2 linked regions of the Elephas maximus indicus genome follow. The protein of the gene in region 1 interacts with the protein of each later gene in a pairwise test. Links are inferred from orthologs where the notes say so. Each region holds a gene or a part of one and is shown on either strand. Other genes may lie near its edges. The genes, in order: RGS2 and NIPSNAP1.

Region 1 (3,908 bases):
CATGCAGTTCCTGCACAGATGAAGACTATATGCTTGAGCGAAATTAGTCTTACATTTCACAAACATATTTTAAAGTCTTTTTTTTTTTTTTTTTACTGAAATCTAAATTACTTGTTTCCATAATAAAGTACATGACTGTTCTCTTCAGTAGTAATTGCAGATTTTCCTCTCCAAGTCAAAGCTGGAGCTCCAACTACTGGCAGCTCAGCATAAAAACATGGTAACTAGTCCCAGTGTTACAGGCCTGCGTCGGAATTGCTTCAACAGCAACGGGTTTGGTTTATTGGCTTTTTAATGGTTAGTGTAAAATAGGGAGAATATTTGCAACCCAATCAATATCTTGCTGTAAAGCTTACTGTCTAATTAGAGGTTTGATGGGGAAACCATTTGAATATTCCACTGTTAGGTTCTGGCAATGCTGTTCTCTAAAATCAAATCATTTTGTAGCTAAAGTAATGTTTGTCCTCACCCATCAAGTCACTTGAAAGCTTGCAGGAGGGGACAGATGATTTCTGGAAAATCAACAACTTATTTAAGCAAAGTGTTAACTTTTCTGCTACTTTTTGCCAGTTAAGTATTCTGGTAAACTCTAAACCAACTAAGGATGACTCACGAAGAAATCATCCATTCCCACGTTCTTAAACTAGAATGATTCCAGTACATTCCATCTGCTAAGTGTGGCGTTTTCCCTCTCCTTCCTCTCTCACGCACATACACAATGGCGAGATCTGTGATTTCTGTTGTGGATGGAGAAGAAGCCAGGAAATCCTGAGGACGGACCCTATAGGCCAAGCCACAAGTCTAGAGGTGAAGATCACAAAGTAAACCCAGTTAAAACGCTGTCTTCTGAAAGAGTCATTTTCTCCTGTTCCTCACCTGACGAATGTTCGTTCCCCTAAGTATTCCAAGATGCCCAAACCCCAGCCAGCACACCTGCCCCGGGGCTGTCACCGTTTCCTCCCCCGGCTGAAGCAGAATCGCAGGAGAGGACCGAGCGAGGGTCTCCGGGCGGCCCCGGTTTACTTTACAGACCAAGGGTCTCGGGCGAGTCGGTACAGCAGGACCAGGACTGTAAGCCAGAAACGAGGCGCGGGCAGGGGGATGGCCAATCCATGTTAACTGGAAATAAGGCGATTGCACTCGAGTTTGCAGCAAAGCACCTTTTCCTGATGGGGAAACATCGCCCCTCTCGGGGATCCAGGGGCACGTCAGGGTGGGTGCGGGGAGAAGGCGCGCCGCGCCGGGCCTGCGGCTAATTCGGCCCCCCGCCCTCGCCGGAGGCGGCAGAGCCCATCCGGCCGGCCCCGCGCCTGGGCACAGGTCGCCGGCAACGGCTCCCGGGAAAGGTCCGGGTCGCGTTGCGGCCCGAGCGCGCGCTCGGCCGGGCAACGCCAGCATCGGCTGCGCCCTGGCTCCCGAGACCCTTCGTGGGCGGCCGTGACCGCGCTCGCACCGCCCCCGGGCCCCGTACACGGCCAGTCCTCGCCCTCCGGGGCGGGGCTGGTGCGGGCGGCCCTCCCCATCGGGTCCTGGCCTCCTATAAAGGCCGCGGCGCCCCCGCCAGCCAGCAGCCGCTGCCGGTGTGGGGAGAGGATGATGCGAGGTTCCATGTTCCTGGCTGTCCAGCACGAGTACTGTGGTCCAGTGGACAAGAGCGCAGGCAGTGGCGCCAAGAGCGAGGAAAAGCGGGAGAAGATGAAGCTAACCCTGTGAGTACGGTCTTCTCCAGCCTCCCGCCCTTGCCCCTGCGGAGCTAGCTCCCCCGGTCTGCTGCAAACGCGGTGGGCTCGGTCTCGGCCTCGGCTGCAGGAAACTGGGTAGTTCGGGTCTCCACAGGCGGGAAAAGGGTGGAAAAGGTTAATCTGGCAAATTAAGGTTAAATATGTTTTTTGGTATTTTTTTGGCGGGGGTAGAGTTTTATTTTGTTACGTGACCGAAGGACGATCCGTTAGAGTTTAGGAACTGAGGAATATTCTACATGTGGTGTCTGGGGACGGCGGTAGATGCGCTAAGATATTGCGGGTTGACTTTTTGTTCCCCTGCATTTAAAATGCCATCAGAGAATCCTGCGGCTGAAGCATGTCCCCTGCAGTCGTGCGTTGCATTGAGTTCTGATCAGCTTACACAGCTGCAGGGCTGAAGCTGTGTGTGCTGGTTCTGAATAGAAATCCAGTCTTGTTTTTAGTAGAAGAGTAGATCTCACTCATTGAGACTGCGGAACAGATTATTGCTCTGCAGCATTTGCTCAAAATGAGCGTCGTCGTTGGGGGGTGGAGGGGCGTGGAGATAGTCACACGCACCTCACTGTGTGCAGCCTCTGGCGTTGTCCAGAGCCTCCTGCTTTCACGGTGAAACCCAGTGCCGTCGAGGAAAATGAACATCCCCAGCCGGAGGCGATTTCATCAAGCGTGAAACAACCGTAGTTGTAATTCGCCTTGTAGAGAAACCTGCTGCCTTTGGAACAACACAAATTTAATTCGTTTAAATACTTGAGTGGTTTTAGATAGTCTTGCCGATAGTTATAAAACTGCTAGTTACTCTCACGTAAATGAATGAAGCTAATTGTGTATTCAGTACATTACATTAAAAGGGTGAGACTTGTCTCACTTGGAGAGTTCCTGTTTGATTTTATTTGGTTTGTCTGTAGCTCCTGGGAGACTTTATTTGGAAAAAAAAAATGCATTCGGCTGCAGTAGCTGCATTTTCAAGCATTGCCACTTAGTAAATGGCCTTTTTTTTTTTTTTTTAAGGTTAAAAGATTGGAAGGCCCGTTTGAGCTACTTCTTACAAAATTCCTCCACTCCTGGGAAGCCCAAAACCAGCAAGAAAAGCAAACAGCAAACTTTTATCAAGTAAGTTGAAAACCCTGTACTTGGTAATAGGAGCTGCTAGCTGCTGGACCAAAAAGGGAAGTTCTGGTGCACATAAGCTAATCTACAGAACCTCTCTTGCAGGCCATCTCCTGAGGAAGCACAGCTGTGGTCAGAAGCGTTTGATGAGCTGCTAGCCAGTAAATGTAAGTTACACTCTTGAGTTTGATCCATTTCAGGTGGTTCAGGAGTTCACTAAGGTTAGGTCCACCCAACAGAAGAGCAGCTGGCCTGAGGGGAATGGGACTTAAATTATAGTCACTATAGCATAAGACCTATTTTTCTGTCCCTTATTTTCCAGTGTTTAACCATGGAAATGCATATATTATTCACTCCAGGTGGAGAAGAAAAATTAGCCTAAAAAAATTAAAGTGACAGTTGCTATTAGCAAAGATTAAGTCAGCTTTTCCATTGCAGTGTTTTCAAAAGGCTTAGTTCCCAGAGAATTTATGGCTTCCCTCTAAATACTTATTTTGTATTGACAGCAAAATTAAGTTTGCATATTTTTTTTTTTTTTACCAGTGTGCCAATTTAAGCAGCTTGCCTACTGGCATCTTAGCTTTTAAATTTTAAAGAGGGAAATTCTGAGGATTGTAGGTACGAGTGAAATCTAGAAAATTACCATCATTTAGAAATAATTACAGTGCGGGTACGCACTAGGAAAAATATCACATCTGCATGCCCTTTTTTCTTTCAGATGGTCTTGCTGCATTCAGGGCTTTTTTAAAATCTGAATTCTGTGAAGAAAATATTGAATTCTGGCTGGCCTGTGAAGATTTCAAAAAAACCAAGTCACCCCAAAAGCTGTCCTCAAAAGCAAGGAAAATATATACTGACTTCATAGAAAAGGAAGCTCCAAAAGAGGTAAAGAAAAAAAAAAAATTCATCTCAGTACATTTTTGAACATCCTTAGCACCAAAGTGAAATAAGAGTTGAAGAGACTCCAAATTAAAAGAGTGGGTGAGGGGTGGTAAGAGGATCCTCCCACCCAGCCCAACCCCATTCTGTCTTTCAATGGAGTTTTTCCAGTGACTGCTT
Region 2 (3,908 bases), on another chromosome or scaffold:
ACTACAACGCAGCAGTGACACTGTGTTCTCTCATTGCAGTTATCTTACTGGCATCACCTGTTTATGATAATTGATTGCTTTTCTATTATGATGATCTGCAGTTTCCTTTTTAAATAAATCACACAAACACTACATTTTTTTTTTTTGGTAGCAACTTTAGAAAACACACACAAAAAATTCATAGTTAAAAGCTCACATTTTCATACAGATTATTTCCTCAATCTGTACAGGGCTCTCCCTCCACTTACCCCCTCCCCCACCCCCACCCCCGTTATAACTCCTCAGGCTCACGCAAGAGGCTAAGGCCTCTGCTCTGGAGGGCTGACAGTCAGCAATGATTTGACTCTGTAGGGTTGATATGAGTCAGAAATTGACTCCAGGGCAAGGGGTTTCTTTGTTTTTTTGGTCCACCCACCAGGCCCGAAGCCCCAAGAAGGCCAGGAGTTTTTTCTGCCCCACTTTGCTGTCTCATAGACCCCCTGGCGGCACAATGGTTAAGAGCTCCAGCTGCTAACCAAAAGGTCAGCAGTTCAAATCTACCAGCTGCTCCTTGGAAACCCCATGAGGCAGTTCTACTCTGTCCTATAGGGTGTCTGGGAGTCAGAATCGACTCCATGGCAACGGGTTTGGGTTTGAGTTGGTGTCTCACAGCCTAGCCCAGGATCTGGCCAGGCTGACTCTCAGTATCTGCTGAACAAATCAGGGAATGCAAGCCTGTCACCCGGTCAGCGGGTGGGCATTATTTTGGGGCTTGTGCATGCAACCTGCCCCTCTGGAAGCGATGAGGGCCTGGGCCCCCAGATGTGGGGCCTGCAGACTCTCTGCCCCTGCAGAGCTCTGTGGTCTGGGGGCTTGTGGGCTGAGACAGGTAGGTTTTATCGACAGGCAAGAGTTGGGCAGGGCAGGGCAGGTGGAGGGCATGTGGCCCCAAGAGGCCCAGGTCAAATGGCTGAGAGGAATGTAACAGGAAAAGTGCATGGTGGAAAGATACGGTCCGTGCGGCCCAGAGCCTTGCCTAGTCTTTCTTAGATTATTAGGGGATTTGTTTCTTTGATAAACGCTGCCTGTGGACCCCTACCCAGAAAACCACTCAGGTGTACACCGCTTGTATACAATTTCAAGGGCCTTACTGAGGGTCGCTACAGATTGGCCCTCTAACTGCCCCATAGGGCACTTCTATTCTGTTCTCTAGGGTCACTATTGGTCGGAACGGACCCGACAGCAACGGGTTTGGTCTTTTGACCCTCTGCCGCTCATTCCCCAACGCCCTATTAAGAACTCCTGGTATTATTCAAAGTGCTCATTTTACCGAGGTGGACACTGAGGCTCCAAGTGGACAAAGTGCTTAATCAAGTTCACAGAGCGAGTCCGCGGCAAAGCCACAGAGGCTCAGAGAACTAGAACCCCGACTTCCGCTTAGCATCTGCGGAGTTGGGGTACGCAGAGGAGGAACGCCCACCTTGCCCCTGCAGAGCGAGTCGGTGCTCCTGGGGGCGGGGCTTGTCGACGTCCCGCCTCCGCCGCCGGCTTCGGGGGCGGGGCCTTCCTCCAACCTGCGCCGTTCCAACATGGCTCCACGGCTGTGCAGCATCTCTGCGGCGGCGCGGCGGCTGCTGGGTGGCCCGGGCCCCCGTACCGGGGATGCTGCGGCTGCGGCTGCGGCTGCGGCACGGTGAGAGTCGGGCAGGGCGCGGGAGGCGCGCGCGGGGCTTGCAGGGCGGGACAGGGGTCTGGGTCTCAGGGAGGGACTGGTACTCCTCGGCTTGGAACCTGGGGGCTAGGGGCGGGGGCAAGATCGAGGGCTGGGCAAAGAATGAGGAAGGTGGGAAAGATAGGGGCATGGCCCTTGTCCGAGTGGGGACTAGGGTCTGGGCGGAGAATGGAAGATGGGGGTGGCAGGCCCTGGGTCCTGGGGCGGGGGGCTGCCGGTAGAAGGAATAATACCTGATGAAAGAGAAGCCTCCTCCCTACTGGGGGTTCTAGGAGGGTGAGCTCCTCCATGGGGAAAGGTCCGTTCTCGGGGGAAGCAATGGGGATTCCCCAAAACAATGGCTACACAGGCATTGCTCCCCCACCCAAACAGTTCAGGTGAGGCAACTGAGACCGGCGGGGAGGAGGGGATGGCAGTTGTCGAAGCTCATGCCACTTGCTTTCCCATGGCAACACTGGGTCTGGGATCCAGGTCTTCTGACACCCTGTGCTCTTTGCACCACAACTGGGTGGCTTCCTGGGAGAGGGAGGCTGGCTGGCCATTCACTTGGCCTGGGCCTTTGTTTGTCCCACGGTGGCCCCTCCCTCCTTCGTCTCCAGGGCTCTGCATTTCCTCCATCTCTGCACTTACCACCCTGAGCACTTATGGCTCTTGGCTTGCCTGTCTCCCTACTAGACCTTCAGCTCATTTTTGTTTCCCCAGCACAGGGCTCAGGACAGTGTATGTTCAAAGAACATTTCCAAAGACGTGAGAATGCCCATTTCTCTACCTATGGAAAGGAAGCAGGGGCCCCTCCTGTCCACCAGCCCAGGAGTGAAGCTGCAGAGTTCTCTTAGGCCTTGCTATGAGATGTTAGATGGCTGGAGAGTGGGACTGCTGGGCTGCTGGGGAAGAGGAGATTGCCATGTGCCCCCATCCATCTGCCCAGTAATTGAGGAGAAAGCTGGCATCAGGGAAAGAGCTTGGAGTCTGCCTGCCACCAAGCAAATCTCACTCAGCCTTTTGTAGTGACCTTGGGCAAGTCATTTGACCTTTTCAAGCCTCAGGTTCCTCATCTGTAAAACGGGGGTGATAAAATAAGGTGTGTCTCATAGGGTTGCTAAGGATTAAAGAGGCCATCTGTGTGAGGCATGTAGCACATGGTGGACATGAAACAAATGTTGCCGCTTGCCCTAGCCTGCCTCTCAAGGAATTTCTGCTTGAGCCCCTTACAAGGTCAAGGCTGAAAGGGCTTTGGGGAGATCATCTTTTCTGAGCCTCCTGGTTTCCAGATGAAGAAATCAAGGCCCAGGAAAGGGACTTCACTTCCCAGTGTTACAGAATCAGTTGGTGGTAAAATCATCTGTGTGACGAATATCCGCAAAAGAATATTCACAAAAGGAGCATGGGACTTAGCCGTAGCCGCTGCTTCTCACGTACTTACTCTGTAACCCTGGACGAATCACTGGACCTCTGGAAAACTTGGTCTCCTTCTCAGTAAAGTGGGTTGGTGATCTACTGGGTTAATAATTATCAAGTCCCTTGAGGACTGCTGCTCAGCTTCCTACATGCTTTTACTTACACCTTGGTCCCACATAGGATACCTGGGAATATTCTCTCCTGCTGACCCTCAGCCTGCCCCACATCTCCCTGGAGTCACTAGGGGAGCCAGCAGCAGCCCTTCTGGCTTCTGAGGTTTGGAGGCAACAAGGCTGCTCGGGTGGGGACAGAACATGGACTTTGGAATGACCACCCTGGCTTGGAAGCCTCTTGGCCATGGACTGGCCATCTTTGAATAAGGCGTGGAACATCTCTGAGCCTCCTTTGTCTCAAAAACATTGTGAGGATTAGCTTGTAGCACATAGCAAGTGCTCAGTAAGCAGCAATCAACTGCTCCTTACCATTGTACCAGGTATCCTGTTGATAGCAGAACTTGAGTTTCTCTAGCTAAAAACACACTCTTGAACAATAAGGAGAAACATGGCCCCTTTCTGAAGTCAGCCGACTCAAATCGGAAGAGCATTTCAGGATGTGCACTGAGGCAAGCTTCCCAGCATATAAATCTGTAACATTCCTGAGCAGATCGATGTGTGGAGGGGTCACATCCTTGTGACGATGCAGGTATGTCGTCGATAGTAACTGCTCCCAAAGAAGGATGGAAAAGTTCTCATCTGGGACAAAATTTATTTTTGGTGAAAATACACACAGCAAAACCCGC

Evidence for each region.
Region 2: the proteins of RGS2 (region 1) and NIPSNAP1 interact in a two-hybrid assay, tested with the Homo sapiens proteins (2 studies listed by BioGRID and IntAct). The link is inferred for Elephas maximus indicus from reciprocal best matches to the Homo sapiens genes RGS2 and NIPSNAP1.

Annotation. Positions count from the first base shown.
Region 1 is NC_064842.1:58,198,566-58,202,473, forward strand, and holds the start of RGS2 (regulator of G-protein signaling 2), read left to right. Parts: upstream 1-1,550; 5' UTR 1,551-1,593; coding exon 1,594-1,709; intron 1,710-2,750; coding exon 2,751-2,852; intron 2,853-2,954; coding exon 2,955-3,016; intron 3,017-3,567; coding exon 3,568-3,734; intron 3,735-3,908. UniProt on the Homo sapiens protein: Regulates G protein-coupled receptor signaling cascades. Inhibits signal transduction by increasing the GTPase activity of G protein alpha subunits, thereby driving them into their inactive GDP-bound form.
Region 2 is NC_064840.1:26,959,190-26,963,097, forward strand, and holds the start of NIPSNAP1 (protein NipSnap homolog 1), read left to right. Parts: upstream 1-1,543; 5' UTR 1,544-1,568; coding exon 1,569-1,672; intron 1,673-3,908.